Oreochromis niloticus: one gene and its partner. The protein of the gene in region 2 interacts with the protein of the main gene of each other region in a pairwise test. Links are inferred from orthologs where the notes say so. Each region holds a gene or a part of one and is shown on either strand. Other genes may lie near its edges. The genes, in order: pick1 and fmr1.

Region 1 (11,073 bases), on a different chromosome or scaffold from region 2:
GCATATGTGCTTGGACTGTGATAGATTATCTTTCTCTGTGGCACATGAGAGAGTCATGCATCGTCTGTCATTGGGATGTTAGAAGACCAGATCAATGTTTCCTCACATTACTGCAAATATGCCTCTGTCTCAGCTGACTCCTCTTTCCTGCTTGATTCTTTGTCTTCATCATAATTGAAATGGATGATGTGCAGTCCTCTGACACATCTTCTATTCCAGTTTCACATTCTGAAAACTCAAGAAACTTCAAGAAGCCCAGTCACTTTCTTTCCAAGTTCCTCAGACTACAATGCCCTGGATGCCCAAGAACCTACTTGAACATAGTTCAGATTCTTCATCACTTTTCTTCACTTCATAGCCTTCTTCCACTTCTGCAGGTGGGTGATGTGCTTTTTCAGAGAAAGGGTAGCATGTGCTCTAAATATTGACAATATTTTCTATATCTTCTAACCCTGGATCTTCCTGAACATTGATTCTTCCTCCTCATTATACTAGAGGACAATATGTGCTTTGTCCTACTGGTCATTGCTTTGCACAACATGGTAAAAAAAAGTATGCTCATCAAAGTATGCAAATCTCTAGTGCAATGGAGGCTTGTGAGCATACTTTCTGTGTATGTATTATTGTAGGGTCTACCTTACAATACGAAGCACTTTGATGCGACTGTTGTTTTGATTTGGCGCAGTATAAATAACATTTTATTGAATATAGAGCACCTGCCTCCTCATTGTGCTGCCTGTTGTTGTTGTTGTTGTGGTTGTTATGACCAGTGCTTGACCCCAAACATCAGTGATCCAAGATCAAAGATGTTTGATAGCAGTATGTTGTGAAAATACGGCCTTTTGCAACACTTTGTACTTTGGGGTCATTTTTGTCCACGAGGACCACAGGTGTTATAAAATCGAATAAAAACCCCATAAATAAATCAAATTACTTAAAACTTATTCCAATCATGCATAGTATAGTAATGAATAACTTCTGTTATTTTCAGACCATTTGATGAATAAAAAACATATTTTTGATAGCAAAAGATTTCTGTAGAGGACAAAAATGACCCGTGGACAACACAAGGGTTAAATCTGTACTTACAGGTTTGATGGTCTTTAGTAGCTGAATGCCGTATTTCTCAATGTTGCGGTGAGCATCAGCAAACTTCACAAAAGCCTCGCTGGCAGCAGCCTGGGGCTCTCGTACCCCGATGACAGAAAACACATCTCCAAATGCTGCAAAGGGACAAAACCAGAAACCTCTCAAATATAGCTACGAGCAAAGATCTGCTAAAGTTAGAAAACAAAAAGTATTAAATACAACTCCACCAGCAAGCAGACATTGTATGAAAACATGACATTTTTATTCATTTTATGGTCATGTTTCAACTAAAAGCTCCACCAAGTTTTAGCCTTTATTGAGGAAAAAAACAACAGCAAACTTCCACTTGGGGTGAGAGTGGATTATTCCACTGGTGTAATACTGTTTTTATCATTTGTGATTTTGGATATAGTGACTGACCTCTGTGGGTTTGAGAAAGCTCAAAAAACGCCCTCAGTAGTCTTTTCGTGTGCTCCATCAGCCCTGCAACGCAAACAGAGAACAACAGGATCTCTGTGGATTAAAAGCTCTCTCATATCTGTGATTATGGAGTTTTCACACTACATGATTAACTTGTTTAGGTAAAGAATCTTATCATTCGTTACCTTTGTACAGCTCTGCCGTTTTCTCCAGCTCTTCCAGTCTTTTGACAAGTCCATCTGCAAAGTACAACGAGTTAAATCTAAGTAGATATGAACAAACCTGCAGTTACCATCCTAGCAGTCTTACCATTGCATAGAATAGCTCTACTGAGTCCAAGAGCATCCGCTGTTCCTGAGCTCAAATTCTCTACAAGTCGATGTTTGACTTTTTTCAGCACTGAAACATATAAAATATCAATGTTTAACACAAACTAACGCAGCAGTGAAAAAGATTTGTTGAGAATCTGAAAGAATGCAGTACACAGCACTGCAGTGCACGCTTCAAAGGAAGTAACATAAACATAAATACCTATGTCCAGAGACTTCCCCTGTTTTGGATCAGCCTGCAGCTTATTGTAGTGGATTACTGCCTCTCCCTGTGAAAATAGGATCAACAGTTAAATAACCCAAATAAATAAATATAAACATGGGATGGTGAAAGGAAGAGCATCTATTGTAGCAGTACTAAATATAAGAAATAGAACTATGTGTTAGCTTTTGTTGAGATTATGCAAGAATGCAGTACAAAGCACTGCTATGCATGCTTCAAAGAAAGTAACATTTCACCTTAGTACATAAGTTAAAATTAATAATGTGCAACATTTATGGTGTTAAGTGTGAAATGTATTTTCAGTGACGGGCAGCAGCAACACCACCTAATCCTTTTAATCCCACACTGAACCCCATCTTTATCCCACCACGCAGGAAGTCATGGAATTTTTTGGGTTGTGAACAAAGGATGCCAAAAACAACAGCGCCACTATTCACCGGTGATGGTACGCCACATGCTACGGGCTATTGTCCCGACCTCTTCAGCACAGCTTAGCAAACCAGTGAAGTCACTCCTACAGTGTCCTGTCTGCAGTGGGAAGGTGGGCTTACACTCATATCTCACTAACTGTTGGACTGTGCTGGACATAAAAAAGTGAGTCATCTTTGAATTCTTTTCAAAATTTCTTTTAAATGACACACAGTGTTTCAACATGCAAGTAAAGCTATGGTTTGGTTCTTTTTTTTATTCATTATGGGGCATTGGTCATCAGAGGTGAGGGTGAGTATGATGAGTCGCTGTCTTTAGGTTTAAAAGATTAAAAACAGGAGTTTAATAATAGAGCTCATGTTAACATCATTATTTCAACAGGGCTGTCATAAGACTTTCACTGCAATGATACTATTATTTTATTCAAAATAATCCATGGAAATAATCATCACATCACAACAACTACCAAAAATCTGAAAAGGCTAATAAAGCTATCAGTCGAATGCATCTTTTTCTTCAGTGTGCATGGAAGTGGTGAGCGTTTTTGTAGCTACAGATGCACAAATGACTGTATTATTATTCTAAACTGTGTGCATTATTATCACACTGGTAATATTCAATGTTAAATAGCAGTTATGGTCAATAGTGTAATGCTGAGTTTTTAATAACCTCCCACTTTCAGAGTCTGTGTACCTGCACAGCTTGAATCATCTTGGCCACCTCCACCTTAGTTTTGCCCTTGACTGCTTTCCCGTTCACACCTGTGATTTCATCACCTGCTGCCAGCGTCCCATCCAAAGCTGCTGGTGTGTTATCAAAGACCTGCAAAGCAACAGCAACCACATTTAAAAAACCGTGACAAAGTACAGTTATTTTTCCTGAAAAAGAGGCGATAAAGCTGCATTTAATGACCCATATGCCAAACAACAGCAAACTGAGACAGATACAGTCTTATAACATTTAAAGCATGATAGAAATATCTGGTTATAGATGACATTTTAATAAATAAAGTCATAATAAATTATTCTGTGTGCACCTGAACAATGTAGAGGCAAGGGCAGTACTGAGCCCCACCACCAATGCTGATGCCTATAAGATTATTAGCATCTTTCTTCAGAGTCACAGTCCCAGGCACTGTTGGTATCCCCCTGTTAAGAGAGAAAAAAAAACACTAAATTGAGTTTTGAAGCATTTTGTTCAGCTTATTCTGGGACATTCTGTAATGAGGGAACTGTATCACAGTTTATATCAAGACATTCACCCTATCAGTTACTGTTTTAGATGTTTAATAATGTTTTATGTTTATAATGTATGAGAAGCATATGTGATTCGCCTGGATGGGTAGAGAAAGCTCATTAATGACTCACAGTTTGTCCTCCTCCAATTCATAGTCCATATCTGTGAACATTGCAGGACAGCGTCACTCCTGTCCCTCAGAAACCTGCGACAGAGTACAATAAAACAGAAATCAAAGGAAGTTTTAACTGGATCTAGTGATCAGAAAACCCAAGAAACGCTCATTAAAAGAGTGACAATCAGAACACGTTTAAGAGTTTGAGCTACCGGCGAATTTGAAAGTAGTCTATAATCAGATGGACTATCGACAATCACCAAAATTGGCAGCTTTGCTTTCCTGATGCGGCAAATTTAATCGCTGTGGAGTCAGTGAGGAAACGCTGGAGCAGAGCAAACAGCTGGTAACCCGCAGTGCATGCTAACATCCTAACAACAACCATTTAAATACGTTTTAATTAATGTAACTGTTGCACTTAATATATCTGCATGCACACACAAACCAGTCACTGTTAGATTTCATTACAGTGACCGAGGTCAGTAAGTTGGATTATTAGCTGCTAGCCTGTAGGCTAATAGCAGGTGTATTTAGCTAATGTTGTCCCCTGAAACGTCAGCAGGCCATTAACAATTTACCTTTCTTAGACGTCGCACAGAGTCGTCATAAAGATATTCTTTAGTGTGCATAAAATCAAAATATCTTTTGTTGAATCGCCCTTTTTATTCGCAATTATCTCAACTTCTCGATCTAAAGACAGCTTCTATTTACTTTATTTTGTCACTTCCGGCAGGATGACGGAAGTTGTTGTTAAGACGTATTACCAAAGGAAGGACTGGATGATCATTTTCTAGTTTTGTCTTAGAGTCTATAATTCCATATTCCTCAGTGTAAATGATACAGATTATTTCTTTTAAACTTCTCATCAGCTCATATGAAAACACTGTCATTGTATTTTCCAGATTTAATCAAAGTCCTTCCAGGATTCACTTGTTTCTAACTTAGACTACGCGTTTTACTGCCATCCTGTGGTTAGAGTGTCAACCTGCACCTGCATGAAATTTGTCAAATATAATATTATTACAGACTGTTTTTGATGGGAAAAGGGATGTAGATTTGACTAATGATCTTGTTTGTAGAAATTTTATTTGTGAAGCATACAAATACAATTGTTGCAAAATAGACTTATTGCATGGGTATGGTACACTAGTATAGATTATTTTGTTCTAGAGTCATCTGCAGTATATTGAAGGCCCTTATTAATGTGCAAAATGAATTCCAATGAAAAATAGAAAAAGCACATTAATTTGTTCATTTACTAATTTGCTGTTACAGGTGATTAAACAGAGTAGTGCTTGTACTGAATATAGTATTTGGCAAAGATGATGATGATGTTGAATGAGTCAGTGTTAAAAGAGAATCTTACTTAAACTCATGTCTTGCATCATAAATAAACTAGAATTCACAGTTACCCCATTTACCTTTTTTTCTCCCAGCACAGTAGACTGTACCTCTGTTGAAACTCCATCATCCAGGACTGTTCACCAGCAACCAGTATGAGTATGGTAAGCTTAGGTTTGTGTATGCCACTACATGTCAGCAAATTAACTACATTTTACCCTTTAATAAATTATTTGCAAAACTGAAAATGCAAAGTTATTTCATTCTCAAGACTTCTTCAGGTTATATTCTAACCATGTGTTCAGGAACTCGAACTGAAGAATGTGGATTTGAGAGCTGGAGATGAGCTGAAAATAAAAGGGGTAATTCTGCATGATGCAGAGAGGTAAGCTAACAAAACTCATTTATTTTTTCCATACAGTAACCATATAAATTGAATGAAAGCTACATATGCTGTTAATCCTGCAGTAGGAAAATCTAATCTAGCACAAAGTGGACTTTTACAAATTATATTATATTTTGTACTCCACTGTGTGATCTATGTGTTCAAAGCTCTGCAAGCCATTGATATTAAAATCAAGTTTGTACAACGTCTGATCAACAGATTCCAGATTGATCTCGGCTGTGATGCAGATGACCTGGCACTGCACTTCAATCCTCGGTTCCATGATGACACTGATGGTGCTGTGCTGGTGTGCAACTCAAAGATTGCTGGTTGCTGGGGCGATGAAAAACGGGAAATTCACAACCCCCTACAGAGGGGTGCTGATGTCAAGGTGAGGGAATGTGATCGAAGTAAATGATGATGTACTGAGTGTCTGAGTATTAAAAATATCACAAAGGTTTTTGATTGGATCAAATGGATATTTGATTTACCCACATAAAACACAAAAAACACACTAATACTCTTGCAGATATTAAGCTGGGCGATGCAAGTTGGGTTGCAATTGATTGTGTCTTGGAAAAAATGTTTACTTATGAATTAATTTTTCTTCTGTTTCAGATTGTGTTGAAGCTGGCTGAAGACATGTTTGAGGTGGAACTTCCTGATGGACAGGAAGTCCAGTTTCCAAATCGTGTTGGTATGGGTACCATCAGCTACATCAGAGTCACGGGGGACTTCAAACTGAAATCCTTTAAGATCTGCTAAGAGATACAACTGTAGTAAACAGATGCTGTGTTTAACACTTTAGTTATAGATGAGGTTTGACTGTCTGAATGTTATTCTTACAATAACAGTCAGTTATTGACTGAAGAATCATTAAGAGATAAAGAGAAATTAATACATTTAAGTGATTTAAAATGTCCTGTTGTGCAAAAATGATATAAAATGTTTACAGTCAAATAATCATGTTTTGTCATCTTTAAGGTTTTGCAGCCTCTCACAAACACAGTATAAGTCGAGGCATGAAAGAGTAAAAGTATGATACAGAACAATAGAAGAAAATGCAAATATATTAGTTCTTTGCTAAATCCAATGACTGATTATTTATAGTTATGTAAACATGCAGATAAAACATGCAGAGAAAAATGGCTCCAAATGATACAAAATGCATGTGGGGCACGAGGGTTCCTGGTTAACACTTTTCTTTGTGGAGTTTGTATGTTACTTGTGCCTCCATAGGTTTCCAGTTTCCTTTGAAATGCATGTTAGGTTAACTGGTGATTTGGTGTACAGGACTGCACAGAGTCCAGTGGAAACTTTCTTTTTCACATGACTTTCATAGCTCTAGTCTGGTCTCTCAAACAGCTCAGAGTGCTTTAGACTCCCTTATTGTTTCAATAGAAATCAGGAGAGTAAGTAGCTGCTCAGTTGGCATATTAAGTGTTGAAGTTCATGACAGTTCAATTAAAAAAAAAAAAAAGATTAAAAGTATAGCGTGCTTGGAATGGTGGTCAGTGAAAGCTTCTTCTACATGGCAACACAGCTTAAGTTAGGAAAGTTTGATGTAAATAAACCACAAGACTTTTAGAACAATTTGAATTAGACAGAAAAGACCAAAGATTTTTGGCCGTAATGCACAACACAATTGGTGAAAACCAAACTTGCCACAGGACCTGGGCACCTTGCAGTCTTTGAGTCACATTATAATTCTGATCATTTAACAGTACATATCCATATAGTTATATATATGTATAAAAACATATCTCATACTTGTGAGACTTCAGAGGTGTAAACATCACAGCAGATGCCTTTGAGTCAAAGTAACTGAGAATAAAACTGAAAAATATGAAGGAGATTTTCCTGGCCTGGCTTTTAATAGCAGATAACCTTAAAAATATTCTGCAGTGGAACAAAAACTGAAGAAAACCATGACTCAACAAATGACCATTACCTGATGCTGCTGAAGTGAAGCACAGCGTCTTTTTGTAGAATCCTTTTACCTGCTCTCATTTGCCGTTTTAGCTGGGTTTTTTTTAAAATTGTTTGTGAGCTTACACCTGATATTTTGGCATTTCTGGCAAAATACACTTATATTTAAAAATCCATTGAGGATTTAATTAATTGATTTCACATTATTCAAACTAAGATTTGGATCAGAAAATCGATAGTTTTTTTTAAAAATTCACTCCTATATATTAGGTAGAAAGTGAATTATTCATCCTCAAATTGATGTGTTAGAAGCAGGAAAAATGTGTAATAGTAAGGATTTGAGTAAGTTTGACAAGGAACAAATTGTGATGGGTAGACGACTGAGTCACAGCATCTCTAAAAGTACAGCTCTTTTGGGGCGTCCCTGGTCTGCATTTGTCAGTATCTATCAAATGTTGTCCAAGAAAGAAACAGTGATGAATCAGTAACAGGGTCATGGGGACCCAAGTCTCATTGGCTGGCTTGTGTATTTCGAGATGAGCTACTTTAAAGCAGATTATCAAAAAAAAAGTTCATGGTGGTTCTGACAGAAAGGTGTCAGAATACACATAACAGTTTGGTGCATATAGGGCTGCATGGCCACAGACCACTCAGGGTGCCCATGCTGACCCCTGTCCAACACAGCACCAGAACTGGACCACAGAAGAATGGAAGAGGGTGGCCTGGTCTCATCAATCAGGTTCTCGTTTACATCACCTGGAGGACCGGGTGAGTTTGCATTGCTTAACTGGGCAACACCTGGTACCAGGATGCACTATTGGAAGAAGGCAAGCTGGCGGAGGCAGTGTGATGCTTTGGGAAATGTTCTGCCGGGAAGCTTTAGATCCTGCCATCCATGCGGACTTTACTTTGACATGTACTGCCTACCTAAGCACTGTTATGGACCATGAACATCCTTTCATGGAAACAGTACTCCCTGATGGCTTTGGCCTCTTTCATCACAATAATGTGCCCTGCCACAAAACAGAAATGGCTCAGGAATAGCATGAGGAGCACAGTTTGATCCTTGATCCATCCACAGAATGATCCAATTTGATCCATAGTTTGATCCAGAGGCAGGGTTAACTATGGTGTCTATTTTAAATGGTCCAATGAAATTTGGTTTGTTAGACTCAGTTTGTGAGAGAATATTTTTAGAGGGAAAAAAAACCTTTTGACCTGCAGCATAGACGGTCCAACAACGATCTGTCACCTGCTTATTCTGTTCTGCTGTTTGCAGCAAGGCTGTTTTCATGTACTTCCACAGATGCCAACAGCAATGAAGATGGAGTGGGATTGATCGAACAGGCAATTAAGGCTAAAAAAGATCAGCAGTTTACCCTAGATAGGCTTTGAATGAACACAACCTGGTGGAAGAGGAGGTTAGGGAATTATGGGCATATTTGACCCAGGTGACCTCCAGGTGGAACTGAAAATATTAACACTAATAAACAGTAAAATACTTGTGCTAAACTAAAAACGCTCATTCATTCTCAAGTCTTCTTCTCATTCTAATAATGTATTTCTCAGCAACTTGAGCTGAATAATGTGGATCTGAGAGCTTGAGCGGAGTAGAAAATAAAAGGGGTTATTTTGAAGGATGCAGAGAGATCCATTGTAAAGATTGTTCATTCCTTGCTCATATCCCTCAACCTCTGGATGCGTTTGGTTGACTTTTAAGTTTTTTAGTTTGTGTCATCTGGTTTATTTTTAACACTTTCAAGCAAAGCTAGAAGCTAGCATAACGTCAGGTTATATTTTTAAGCAGTTTAAAGATATATATTTAAATGAAAAGACTAAATGTCTTTTCCTTCTTTAAAAAAGGGAACATTCTTCATTTTAATGGGCTAATTCTGGCAAATTGTACACTTTAGCATCAACCATCCTCTGCAGAGCAACCCCTGAACCATGAAAAAACTCTCTTTAACTAAATATTGCTGTAGATGTTGTGTATCTTGTAACATGGGTATGGTGGGTTTTTTTAGTTTTTGAGTTGAGTTTTTTGAGTGGTTGTGGTGAAGTGCATGCCTGTTTTTACAAGATATTCACACAGGAATATCTATTCTGAAGAAGGTCTGTTAATAGACCTCTCTGCATTGAATCATACCCGTTATTAATCTCTGGCTCTCTTCCACAGCATGTTTTTTATCCTGTCTTCCTTCTCTCACCTCAAACGATCGCAGCAGATGGCCCCGCCCCTCCCTGAGTCTGGTTCTGCTGGAAGTTTCTTCCTGTTAAAAGAGTTTTTCCTTCCCACTGTTGTCAAAGTGCTTGCTCATAGGTGGTCATATGATTGCTGTTTTTTCTGTATGTATTATTGTAGGGTCTACCTTACAATATAAAGCACCTTGAGGCAACTGTTGTTGTGATTTGGCGCTGTAACTACTAAGGTGTTTTTGTTATGTTAAAATTGGTTTCTTACTTTAAATAAGTTACCTTTTGTCTCCCAAGAAGAAAGATGGTAGCTGTGTTTAAACAGTTTCCTCCCATGTATTCAATTATCTGTAGGACTGTTTGGTAAGTTTAGTTTGTGCATATACTGTATATATGATACTGTGCAAAACTCAAATGGTCTTTGTAATTTATTTTACTTTTGGAAATGTTTTTTGGAAAGTGATTGGTTTATTAACTTCTGGACCCTCTCATTAATCAAGGAGGGTTGTAGGAAAAATGATTTTTGTTTGCCAAATGTCAGATGGGACGATGAGAGGGTTTAAAATGATTTTTTGAGCACTTTTTGAACTTGTTAAAGCAGATTAAATTAACTTTCATTTAATTTTAAGTTGTAAGAAATTATTTGGTTGATTTTTGTTTATATTTCTCTACGAAATAAATGCCATATAATTTTTAACAATGAAGTCAGAATTGCGTTCTAAAACAAACCTCCCGCTGCCACCCATGGCCTTTTCTTGGACTATTTTTTGTGTTTGGAACTTAAAAGGCCGTAACAGTCTTGTTTTATTATCTTTAAAGGGTTGCAGCCTAATCTGTATCAGTAAAGCTGTGTGAGAGAACAACAATCAAATATATCAGGGATGGGCCGCTCCAGGCCTCGAGAGCCAGTGTCCTGCAGGTTATAGATGTGTCCTTGATCCATCACAGCTGATTCAAATGGCTAAATTACCTCCTCAACATTTCTTGAAATTCTCCAGAGGCCTGATAATGAACTAATGGTTTGGGTGTTTTGACCGAGGGTGTTATCTAAAACCTGCAGAACACTGGCTCTTGAGGCCTGGAGTTGGCCACCCCTGATATATTTGATTGGACTTGTTCTCTCACACAGCTTTACTGATACAGATTAGGCTGCAACCCTTCAAAGACAATAAAACAAGACTGTTACGGCCTTTTAAGTTCCAAACACAAAAAATAGTCAAAAAAAAAAATAGTCCTGGAGTTGGCCACCCCTGAAATATATCATATATCAGTCAAATCAATAAAGCCATCTAGCATTGGAATCCTACTGAATTATGTTGTGGAAATTTTAAATAAAACCTGCAAACACCTCAGTGAGCATGATTTGAAGTGAGTTTAATAACAT
Region 2 (10,619 bases):
AGGTGCTTCTTTCTTGGTGATGTAAAACTAGTTTCTCTGCTGATGTTCCAGCAGTCTCAATCTCAGGGCACAGCTGAGCCTTGGCTGTTTCTGAACATTGTAACCAAATTCCTCTCATCTGAGGGGTGACAGTTGGGGTCTTCTCCTAGACCTCGTCAAAGTGGTAACATTAAATTGATGCTTCTGGAATTTGTAGTTATTTAGAAATGGCTCTGGAATGGACTTCCTAAACTTTACCAACAAATCAACCAATTTAAATGAACTTGACCAATTCTGCCAAGAAGAGCAGTCCAGCTATAATTATGCTAGGAGCTTGGTGATGGCTACCAAAAGCTTCTGGTTGAGGCGCACCTTGCTAAGGGACATTTAACCACATGTTAGTGGGTAGTGTATGCATGCTATTGGCCCCATGTGGATTAGAGAAAATCCAAATAATTTCAAACTTGTGCACCAGACCTTTGTTTTTTTAAAACTCATTAATTATGTTTCCTGTACAGACATTCCACTCCTGACAGAGAACACTTCAAAGAAACCATCAAAGCCCCAAAATACCATGATGAATGTATATAAACCTTTTACCACAACTGTATTTGCTGAGGTTACCCACAAACCCTGACTAGCATCAGTGAGTAGTAATAACATGAGTCTTTATTCATGCAAGTCAAACTCACATTTGCCGTAGATCTTCGGGTACATCCAGTCGGATCTTAATGAAGGTGTTTTTGGTGGCTGGTTTATTCGGGTTGACCGGCCGTAACCTCTCCAGCGTCACTATCTCATTTAATGTGGCTTCACATGCAGCGTACTCTATTACATAAAACTGGAAACAAAGACAGATCAAGTATGAGTGATCCAATAGAAAAACATCACTTTTTTTTCAAAATTTTAAATAAGTCATACTATTATTAAAAAATTTTTTTTGAAGAAAGTAAATCTGATGGTGGTGAGACAACAGGAGGACAAACAGAGGAAGAGCTTACATGCACAAAAAATCCAGAGGAAAATGGAAATACAAGGATATAAAGAACATCTGGGGCATATAGTCTGAATTCAATCAATCATTGAGTTAATGTGTTGTTTAGGATTGTAAAACTCAATCACACACTGACATCCGTCACCAGAGAAATTATGTTACACTGAAGTTAAATATCTGCGGTGAGCTTGATAAAAAGGATTTTTATGAGTACATAACATTTCATGAGTGTAGAATGTGCTCAGTAAACATGGCTGTATTTAGTATTAATAAAGGATGTTGTGATATTAAAGCATTTAGAATGGAGCAAGTGTCTGGGCTGCGTTTTAAGCAAATTTAACACAGTCATGTTGCTTCAGTGCTGCTTGGTGAGCCTTACAGATGAACTGGAGCATGTCTTACCTCCCCTTTGACCATGCGAACCTTGGCTAACCACCATCCACATGGCTCTTTGTCATTCGCCCTAGAATACACCTGACAGACACACACACACACACATACACACACACAGCTCATTTCAGAAATCATTCCCATCTTTAAACAAAGCTGATACGAGTAAACTGGCACAGAAACAACTGACACACTGATACAGGAAATCATTGTGAATAATATTATTGATAAAAATAATAAGTCAGACTAATTTACCATCGATAGAACAGATAATCTCAGACTATGTGAGGAGCATCACTCTTTTTTAAATTTTATTTTACGCTGAAAATTCAACTCTACTCACTCCGCTCCATGCTATTCCAAAGTTACCCTGCTCCCCAGCTATACCAACTTTGCTTTCCAAACCCACCATGTCTGACGGCAACAATCACTTTCTCACCTCGACCTCATCGCTCTCACTGATCTCCTTGCAGAACCCTGTTGGAGGAGGAAAGCGCACATCCTGGAATGGGATCTGCCGCTCCGGCTGCCAGCTGGGACAGAGGAACAAACACAAAAAGTTCATTTTATTGTTTGCCAAAGACATGACATATTACACAATGTTATATTTTACTTTACTCACTTGTTTTCAAATGCTACCGTGACAGATCCTTCGTGAACATCCTTTACAAAGGCCTGCAAGAGTCACAGAAGTAAATTCAGTTTTGACATATCTTTGAAATAGTCAGTGCGCAAGTCAAACTGGCATCGACCATGTAAACAGGAACCAGTTCTACTGCTTAAGCCTGACCTTATCCTAATGCTCCTAGGAATGAAACAACCTAAATAATTTCCTTTTCTGGAGTTTGAGCTTTGGGCTCGAGTCAGGTTTGGCTCAGTCTCTCTCTCTCTCGCTGGTTCTACACACAGCTGATGTGTGTGTCATGTGTGTCAAACACTGCAAGTAGGCCATGCGATGCCTAGAAGGAAAAGAGAGCGCTAGAGAGCCTTGCCAATGGGTTGCATTAACCTGGCAAGCTAGCAGTCAGTGGTGGATGAAATGAAGCAAGAAGGAAGCAAGAAAGAGAGCTTCTCAAAACTCCCAAGGTTAAAAAAACAAATAAACCAATTCTGACAGGACCTCACTGACCTGTGAGCGTGTTTAGGATTGTGACTGACTGACTGTCTAGTTCAGGAACCAAGTTCAGACTTTAGCAAGAACATTAATCTTGTTAAAACCGGAAAAATACCAAAACACAAAATATGAGGGTAAGGCAGAGGGTGCATTAGGAGATAATGTAGTTTAGTCTACTGGCAGTAAACTGCAATTGTTGTACTGCTGTTGAGATTACAATAAAAAAGAGCAATGACTTCTATACTGCATAAGGTGCAATTTAAAAACAGCAAAATTAAGTTTCTCACTCAAGTGATTTATGGCAGAACCATTTTCTACAATTATTTCTATAGTATTATTCTCACTTGGCAGATGAATGCACTCATTATTTTTAATATGTTCATTTCAGCCAAGAGCATATTTTAAATTCTGCTATAATGCCAGAGACAAGGGTGTCATTTTCCAGTTCAACTATTATTAAAAACACTATAAAAAATTATTTGCCAACTACACATTTAGTCAATCAACATCATCACAACAACTAACTAAAATGATTACGTTCAAAACTCTTGATTCATTAACCAAAATTTGAATGCTTATTAACATTGAAATCATGCAAGTGATCTGCAGTAAGATCCAACTCCCTGTGTTGGAGGTATGCTGCCATCTAGCAAAGGTAACTGCTCTGTAAATAAGTCTCCTTTAAAGTGGACCTATTACACTATTCCTTTTACTCGACTACAGTCTACTACACTAGCTTTGCATGATTCACAATTGAAAATAATCCACATTTATCTCTTGCTGGTGCAGCTCAATTCATCTTAAAACTGTTTTAGCTCCACTCATATTAGGCCAACTGTCTGCCAGCCAGCCCCTGGCAAACAGAAGGTGTGAACAGCAGGTGGGTGGGGTTTCAGTCAGAACTGTGTACCTAAGATGACAATATTAGGGATATTTGCTCTCAGTGACATCATACTGGGCCAAGAGAAAAACAAACTGCCTAAGTTTTAAACACTCTGAATAAGCCTCTGTGAATACACTGGGCATTTTCTGATGAACAGAAAGACCTCTGCCAAAGTCGCCCTCTTGTCGTGTATCTGCTTATACTTGTAAGGAGTCACACCTACGTCATCTTATTAGATCGATCTACATAGTAAAATACATTAAATATAACAGTGGTATACATGTAGGTTATGATAGATGTATGGCTAATAAAAGTACTCTTAAGAGTTACCTGGTGGGACTGGATTTTTTCAAACCAGACTACCATCTAACAATAATTAGCCTAACTTTTCTCATTGCTGTTTGACAGTAAAACTTATCATTCAAGCTACAGCACCATTCAAATATTCGGACACACCCACCCATTTATATGGTTCTGTACTTGCTAACAATATGATTACAACTATTAAAAGAATGGTTTCTGTCTCGTGCCACACCTAGCTAAAAGCCAAAGTACAACTGACAGTGCCAACTTCAACTTTCCTACATTCAAAGGAAAAGCCTCTTGATTTGGGAAAGTATACAAGTATTGAACACAGCATGAGAAGTCTATGATTTACATGGCAACCGCTGAGCTTAATGAGGGTCTGTGGCCTGAATCAAGATTAATTTCAATTACTAATTACCCTGATTATACAGCATACTCACAGCATTCATGTACCTCGCATTAATGTGGCCACAACAAAACTATTAGTTTTAAAAAGACATCTGTCAGAACTTTACTTGCGATACATGTCATCCTATATTTATCCCACAACAAACCTGACAGCTGTACAATAAATAAATAATAAATGTATCATTTTATTTAGATCCTTCACCATAAGTCATTTTATTCTTGTGTCCTTGAATTGACCAATATTCAAATGTAAGTAATTATTGCTAATTAGCGTGTTATCCCATTGTACTGCTTATGTTATCTCCCCCACCCCACCCCAGTGATACACGCAGGTCACGGGATCGGATTTATGATCTACTTGTTGACTGACCCCAAAATCTCTGCAGTCTTGACAAAACAAGAAAACACCTGGCAGCTACGGGCACAATAAAGGTTAGCCAAACCATCACCCCTGTGTGCTACTCTGAATTAACTTACTTTGACCAAAGCAAAAAACAAAAAACAGCCAACCCATGATTGATTCTGATGTTTGTGAGTCTGCAACCAATCCTTGCACATCACTTTAGGGGTACCATCGTATAGCAGTCACATCAGCGTTACCGATACCGCTTAAACAGCTACCCTGGTTAAGCGTCATGATCACCAATAGTTCACCAATTTATCCACTACCGCTGATGTTAGAGCCCCACCGCAGCGTTAGCTTTGTTTACACGTTTCAGGTCCCGGTAGACGTTGAGCAGAAGCACCGAGGCCCACATATAACACTAAGCTAGCCCCGTGACACAAATTCATGTTAGTTAGGCTTACTTGGTACATAGTGTGTGAACGGTGGTCACAAAACTCGACAAAAGTCAACAACTTACCTTATAAAAAGCCCCACTTGTCCCTCTTACTTCCACGACTAGTTCCTCCATGACGTAAGTTACTACAGCTCGCTAGCTAGCTAACTACCGATAGCGATGTTAGTAGCTAGCTAGCTAGCTGGCTAGCCTGACGCTAGCCAAGGCAGAGTCGCTAGCTAGCCTAAATACCCTGCCTACTGGATGCAAGAAGAGGCCACAGTAGCTGTGTGTGACCGTAATATTGTTTTCCGCTTTGCACCGTCTATGAAATTTGTTTCTTGCAAATTTGCAAATCCGACTTCATGAAGAAGACGAAGCAATTAGCTAGCCAGGTTAGCTTTTAGTAGCTAGTTATGTTAATGTTGTGTGATTAGTGGTGTAGCAGCTACTGCTGTTGTATCTCTCCATGTGACGTCTCCGCTTTCTTCCTCTACTGAAAACTGAGGCTGCTTACTCTCATCCGAGCCTGTTGCTGCTCTCCACGGGTAATAAATAGGAATGCCATTTGATATAGCAGGAAATATATCAAAATAAAAATGACCACTGTGTTTATCCTGTGGTGTACCATATTTGAGCTCTAAGAACAAATGAAAAAATATATTTTCCCAACAGCACGGCCAACCAGTCCCTCCGGGAAAACAGCAAATTTATCCCTCTCCATATTTATCAAGCCACATTTCAACTATTCCACCTTGCTCTTTTTCCTCACTTGTTTTTACAATGTGCATTCACAAACACAATACTTATCTTTAACTAACTACTGAAATCTGTTGCAAAGAACTTTGGCTCCTCATGTGTTGTTTATTTGATGTTTATTGTACACGGTACTATTTTTATTCTTTATCACAAGGTTGTAACAATAATTTCCCCCATGGGATCAATAAAGTATCTATATATCTATCTAATATAATAACACATTAAAATGAGAGATTTCAGAACCTAGGACAGCAACCAAGGTGTTCTCATTAAATGTTCCACTAATATCTAATGAATCTAATCTAATGTAATATACAATATATATTTAGACTCAGACTTACTCATTACTGCCTGTTGTTTCTGAGGACTGTCTCTTGAAAGCTGACATGCCAAACCACGTCATCCACTCCAAAATAGTTTTGCCTGGAAACCGAAAACATAACTATAATAACTATGTTTTAAAGTCAGGGCACATGCCTTTTTATGCTTAAAGACGTTTGTTACATTTAACAGCAAGGCATGGCATGGATAAATGTACAGATTTTAATACAGAGGCCTGCAGATTCAGTGTTAAGGATCAGTTAAAACCTCATGTTTTTCCTCTATAAACCTCTCATTCTCTCAACACTCAGCAGCACTCATCTGCTACATCTATTTATGGACATATGACCTTCTTGAGAATTATACTTTGTAGGCAAAAACAAGGAACTGCAACAGGCCACATGTTAAGAGAGGGAGAGAAAAAGAAGGGAAAGATGCAGACAGACTACAGACAGGTAAATGAAGAAGTGCTGACAGTGACATATGAGAGGACCATAGAGTGACTTACAGGGATAATCTATAGTGAGATTAAGACAGAAATAGAATGAGAGTGCGGCAGAAACAGGGTCATACATGAAGGGTGAAATAAGATACAGGACAAAGAGCAAGAGAACGGATAAACAGACGGGAAATTCTGAGTTCTGCGTGCGAGGGAAACACTGAATACTGAACACACCATGCTGTTGGCACAGGCACATAAGCTAAACTCTACAAAGTAATAGGACGACAACTTCCTTGCAAAGGAAACAGACTGGCAGCACTTTGCAATCAGTCGGAGTCAGTTTGGACTGATGACTGTAAACTGCCTGTGATGCAGCTCAGCTAACATGGTTGTATTCTGGTTATATTTGTGTGCAAAAGCATGGCTGCCAAGCACTCCTGTCATTTTGCATTTAAATATCTGTCTTGCAGCAACTACGTCACTTTTTGCAGATGAATTTTTGAACTTAGGTCTCAAAAATGAAGGTCTGACTGGACTCGCTGAGAGTTCATCAAATTATTACTGAAAATAGACTGATAAGAGACTGACTCTATCTTATTGCCTTTTCATCATGGTCTTGATGCACCTAAGGTTGCAGCTGACTGCGAGTGTTTGCATATCTGATCACTGTTTTTAAAGCAACCAATTCAAGGGCAGTGATACGAAAAAGGTTCAGAGTCAAGCGATGCTTCTTCAGCAGTTTTATCGTAAGTTTCTTTGTGAGATTGTAACAATAACAGTGTTACATATGAAACATATGTACAGAAGAGGAGAATCACACACAGTCCAAAAGCAGAGTAAACTGACAGGCAAAAACAAAAGTCACCACAGATTTACAGGATCTAACAAAATTACAATACCATAAAATCAGCCAACACGACTCTTCAGGCTTTTTCAAAAAGAGCGATTCAGTATTCTGGGTTTTAGTCTTTATAGTATTGATTAAATGGGGCGCAGTGCGTTCAAATCCCTGTCAGCAACGTCCATCAGTCTGAAGAGTCATCAAACAAGGAACGCTGACTTCTGTTAACTTACACTGAGCTCCAGTGGGTGTAAAGAAATTGAATTAGCCCTGTCCAGGGTGTACCTCTCCTCTTGCCCTATTGCAAATGGGATAGGCTACAGCCACCACACTGTGTGGAATGACAGAAGAACAGATGGAAGAAACATGGATTTGAGTCCTCAGGTCTGATTCGAGCCTGTGTCACTCAAAGATGCTGTAAATCAGCAGTTCCCATCCCCCGGGCCACGGAGCGGAGTTGTTTGTTACCCGGCCGCGAGAGTTGAGGCTCGGGTGTGAAATGTATGGTTTTCAGGGTTTTTATCGTTTATTATCGTTAACTCAGTTTCCCTGGGTCTTGTTGCGTGTGTTATGAATAAAGCTTCTTTTTTTTTGGTACCGGCACTGGTTTTATTTTGTTGTATTTATCTGTGACACCTTAAAGACCGGTCCGTGAAAATATTGTCAAACAACCGTCCGCGGCCCAAAAAAAGGTTGGGGACTGCTGCTGTAGATAGTACCAAAGACAAACACTGTTTTAGATAATAAAGCGAAATAACAATTTGTATTATTGTATAAAACCAGAGACATCCTAAATATTGTGGTGTTATCATTTTTAACAGAGTAAAAATCGTTAAAATGTTCTTTAAATTAGTGAGAGTTTAGCTAATAATGAGCTGGCTAGCTAGCAAATAAGCTAGCAAATAAACTAGCGCTTTGATTTAAGCTACCACGGGCTAAGTTGTGTTAGCACTGCAAGTAGGTAATGTATAAAACCAATATCCTGATACTCTGTAGGACTGCAGCTAACTTTACTTTAATTCTTAAGCGAAGAAAGACCACATTCATCTGAACATTGACTGTAATGCTAAAGCTAATACACGTGCTTAAGGATTTAAAGATACCAAAAACATGTTTTCTAAAAAAAAAAGAAAAAAAGAACCTAATTCACTTAAAACAGTAAATCAAATAATGAACTGTGATGTCTAACTTGTTTAATTTTGGCTTGTTCAAGTTGCTCATCGACGTTTGTGTGTTCTTAGAATGATATATGCTTCAAAGTGTATTTGATATTTATTATTTTCCACATACAGACGTTTTGCAGATAAACAATAATACCAGACTAAATATCAAAATGCCAAGGCAACCCTTTAAGAGCAAACATGGGTTATTAAAAATGACACAAATCAACTGCAAAAAAGTACAAATATATTAGAAAACACACTGGAGATATAGAGAAAAGAGAAGGCAAGCATATATTTGCAACTCTTCGACCTGGAAAAATGCACATTTTGCAGTTTTAAATGGTTAAAACTGAACTTTTGTTAAGCGATGTTACATTTTCTAGTAAATGACATAAACTGCTGAATAATTTCATAAACAGTGATATATATGTTTGGTTGATGACAGTGAAAACAACTGAACTATAGCTTCATTTTCTTTTCTATTCATTTGAAACCATGTTAGTTGCCGCTTTATTCAAATCTGCTAACAGAAATGCAGACACATTTTTCTTTTTTCCACAGTGTTTTTCTGCTCATTAGTCTTGTTCAGTCATCCCACTTGTATGACACTGACTAAATTAGCATTCTTACAATAACCCACTGATGGACAAAGCTGTTGATGTTAATGTATTAAAATTTAAAGGATGAACAATTCCTTTTACATTTTATGTCCTGGGATACCGCTCCATCAGTCCTGAACGTAGTGGTTTCCCCAGCTGTGGTTGAGGCGCACCTGTGGATGCCATTTATGGAGATTAAAAACAAATAAACAAACAAACAAAAGAAGTCACAGATTAGCCCATATAAGGAGAATGAACAGAGCTCTTCCTGATATTTTACAGTAATGTCATTTGATTCACTGTTCTGTTCGATCCTGCTGTTAGAACTGTGCAAAAGTCTCGAGCCGGCCCTCATTTCTTTATATTTTGGTAGGAAAATGGAAAATGGGTGTAGCAATTTGAAAGGTGCACACATACACAGAAATACATTAACTAAGATGATCCCACACTGCTTCAGGAAGGTTGAAGTCTGGGCTCTTGGGAGGCCAATCCACGAATGTGTGTTTTTCTAATCAATTCTAATTTCTAATTTTATGGCATTGATAGTGTGTTTTGGATCATTGTCATGCTCAAAAATGAAATTGCCAAGCAGAGCTTTCCAGATGGTATTGCACAGTGGGCCCATTTCTCCTGGCCTCCGCTGTGCCTGCTGACAATGAGTTACACCAAAAATGTTACATTTGGATTCATCGGTCAATAAGACCTGTCTCTACTGATTTTTATCACAGCTTTTGTGTAATTTGGCACATTTTAGTCCCTGTTTCCTTTCTTTAGGAAGCTTCTTGACATCTGCCTTTCCACTGAAACCATTTCTGATGAGGCTTTGGCAAACAGTCGGTGGATCAACTGAAAATCCTGTGTCGGGTCTTTGGTTGATTTTGCCTATTTCTTAAGGAAATGACTTTCAGATATCTGCAGTAGAGCTTTTAAGACCTGCCTCCATTCGTCCATTTGCCTCATATTTTTTTAAGGGCAGACTGCACACCATGCCGAAATAGCACTTTAAGAATCACCTTGTGGCGGAAAAATACCATTTTATTGCTATGAAATGACTAGGACTATTTCATAACTATTTGTGGCTGAAGACTTTTGCACCGTTCGTAAACCTGTATGAAAGATCGCCAAACCATGGCACACCTCAGGCAGAAGCCCTCTGGATTTGCACAGTGTTCAGATTCAGCCTGTGAATAATTTAATCAGGACATCAGACTGTCAGCTTGGAGGGAACGCCGCTCTTAAATGCTCGCTGATCTGATTCTTCTACATATGGCATCCAGATACATTAATAGAATCACACAAGAGTAGGCTACAGTGGTAAAATATGCTAAGTGTGCTACTATATCAAACTGACATACACCACAGTCGGGATGTTGGATGGTTTCTTGTGACACAGAGGCTTCATTGCTTAAACACTGATTTATGTACAGTGTGTTCCTTCACCCACAGCCTACATGGGAGCTTCCTCAGTGCAAAGCAAGCTGCCTCTCTGTGTGCAGGAAATATTAAATATGGCTTTCTACAGTGTCTCATGCTGCCAGTTTCACCAGTGACTCGAATAATCCAGGCTTAAGGGTTCAGCAGCACAAAGGCCTCTCCGTCACCTACACAGGGTTCACAGTTTTCTCTCCTGCATTTTCAGAG

What was found.
Region 1: the proteins of fmr1 (region 2) and pick1 interact in a two-hybrid assay, tested with the Homo sapiens proteins (2 studies listed by BioGRID and IntAct). The link is inferred for Oreochromis niloticus from reciprocal best matches to the Homo sapiens genes FMR1 and PICK1.

What each region holds. Positions count from the first base shown.
Region 1 is NC_031969.2:9,656,107-9,667,179, forward strand, and holds the start of pick1 (PRKCA-binding protein), read right to left. Parts: upstream 4,587-11,073; 5' UTR 4,420-4,586; intron 4,188-4,419; exon of another isoform or gene 3,939-4,187; intron 3,932-3,938; 5' UTR 3,899-3,931; coding exon 3,858-3,898; intron 3,639-3,857; coding exon 3,527-3,638; intron 3,313-3,526; coding exon 3,184-3,312; intron 2,656-3,183; exon of another isoform or gene 2,233-2,655; intron 2,108-2,232; coding exon 2,041-2,107; intron 1,909-2,040; coding exon 1,819-1,908; intron 1,749-1,818; coding exon 1,695-1,748; intron 1,573-1,694; coding exon 1,510-1,572; intron 1,224-1,509; coding exon 1,090-1,223; intron 1-1,089. Other genes in the region: galectin-2, read left to right, coding at 5,338-5,346, 5,488-5,567, 5,787-5,958, 6,186-6,332. UniProt on the Homo sapiens protein: Probable adapter protein that bind to and organize the subcellular localization of a variety of membrane proteins containing some PDZ recognition sequence.
Region 2 is NC_031966.2:33,305,063-33,315,681, forward strand, and holds the start of fmr1 (fragile X messenger ribonucleoprotein 1), read right to left. Parts: upstream 5,389-10,619; 5' UTR 4,989-5,388; coding exon 4,938-4,988; intron 2,039-4,937; coding exon 1,986-2,038; intron 1,897-1,985; coding exon 1,803-1,896; intron 1,448-1,802; coding exon 1,376-1,447; intron 821-1,375; coding exon 672-820; intron 1-671. Other genes in the region: rab33a (ras-related protein Rab-33A), read right to left, coding at 9,084-9,151.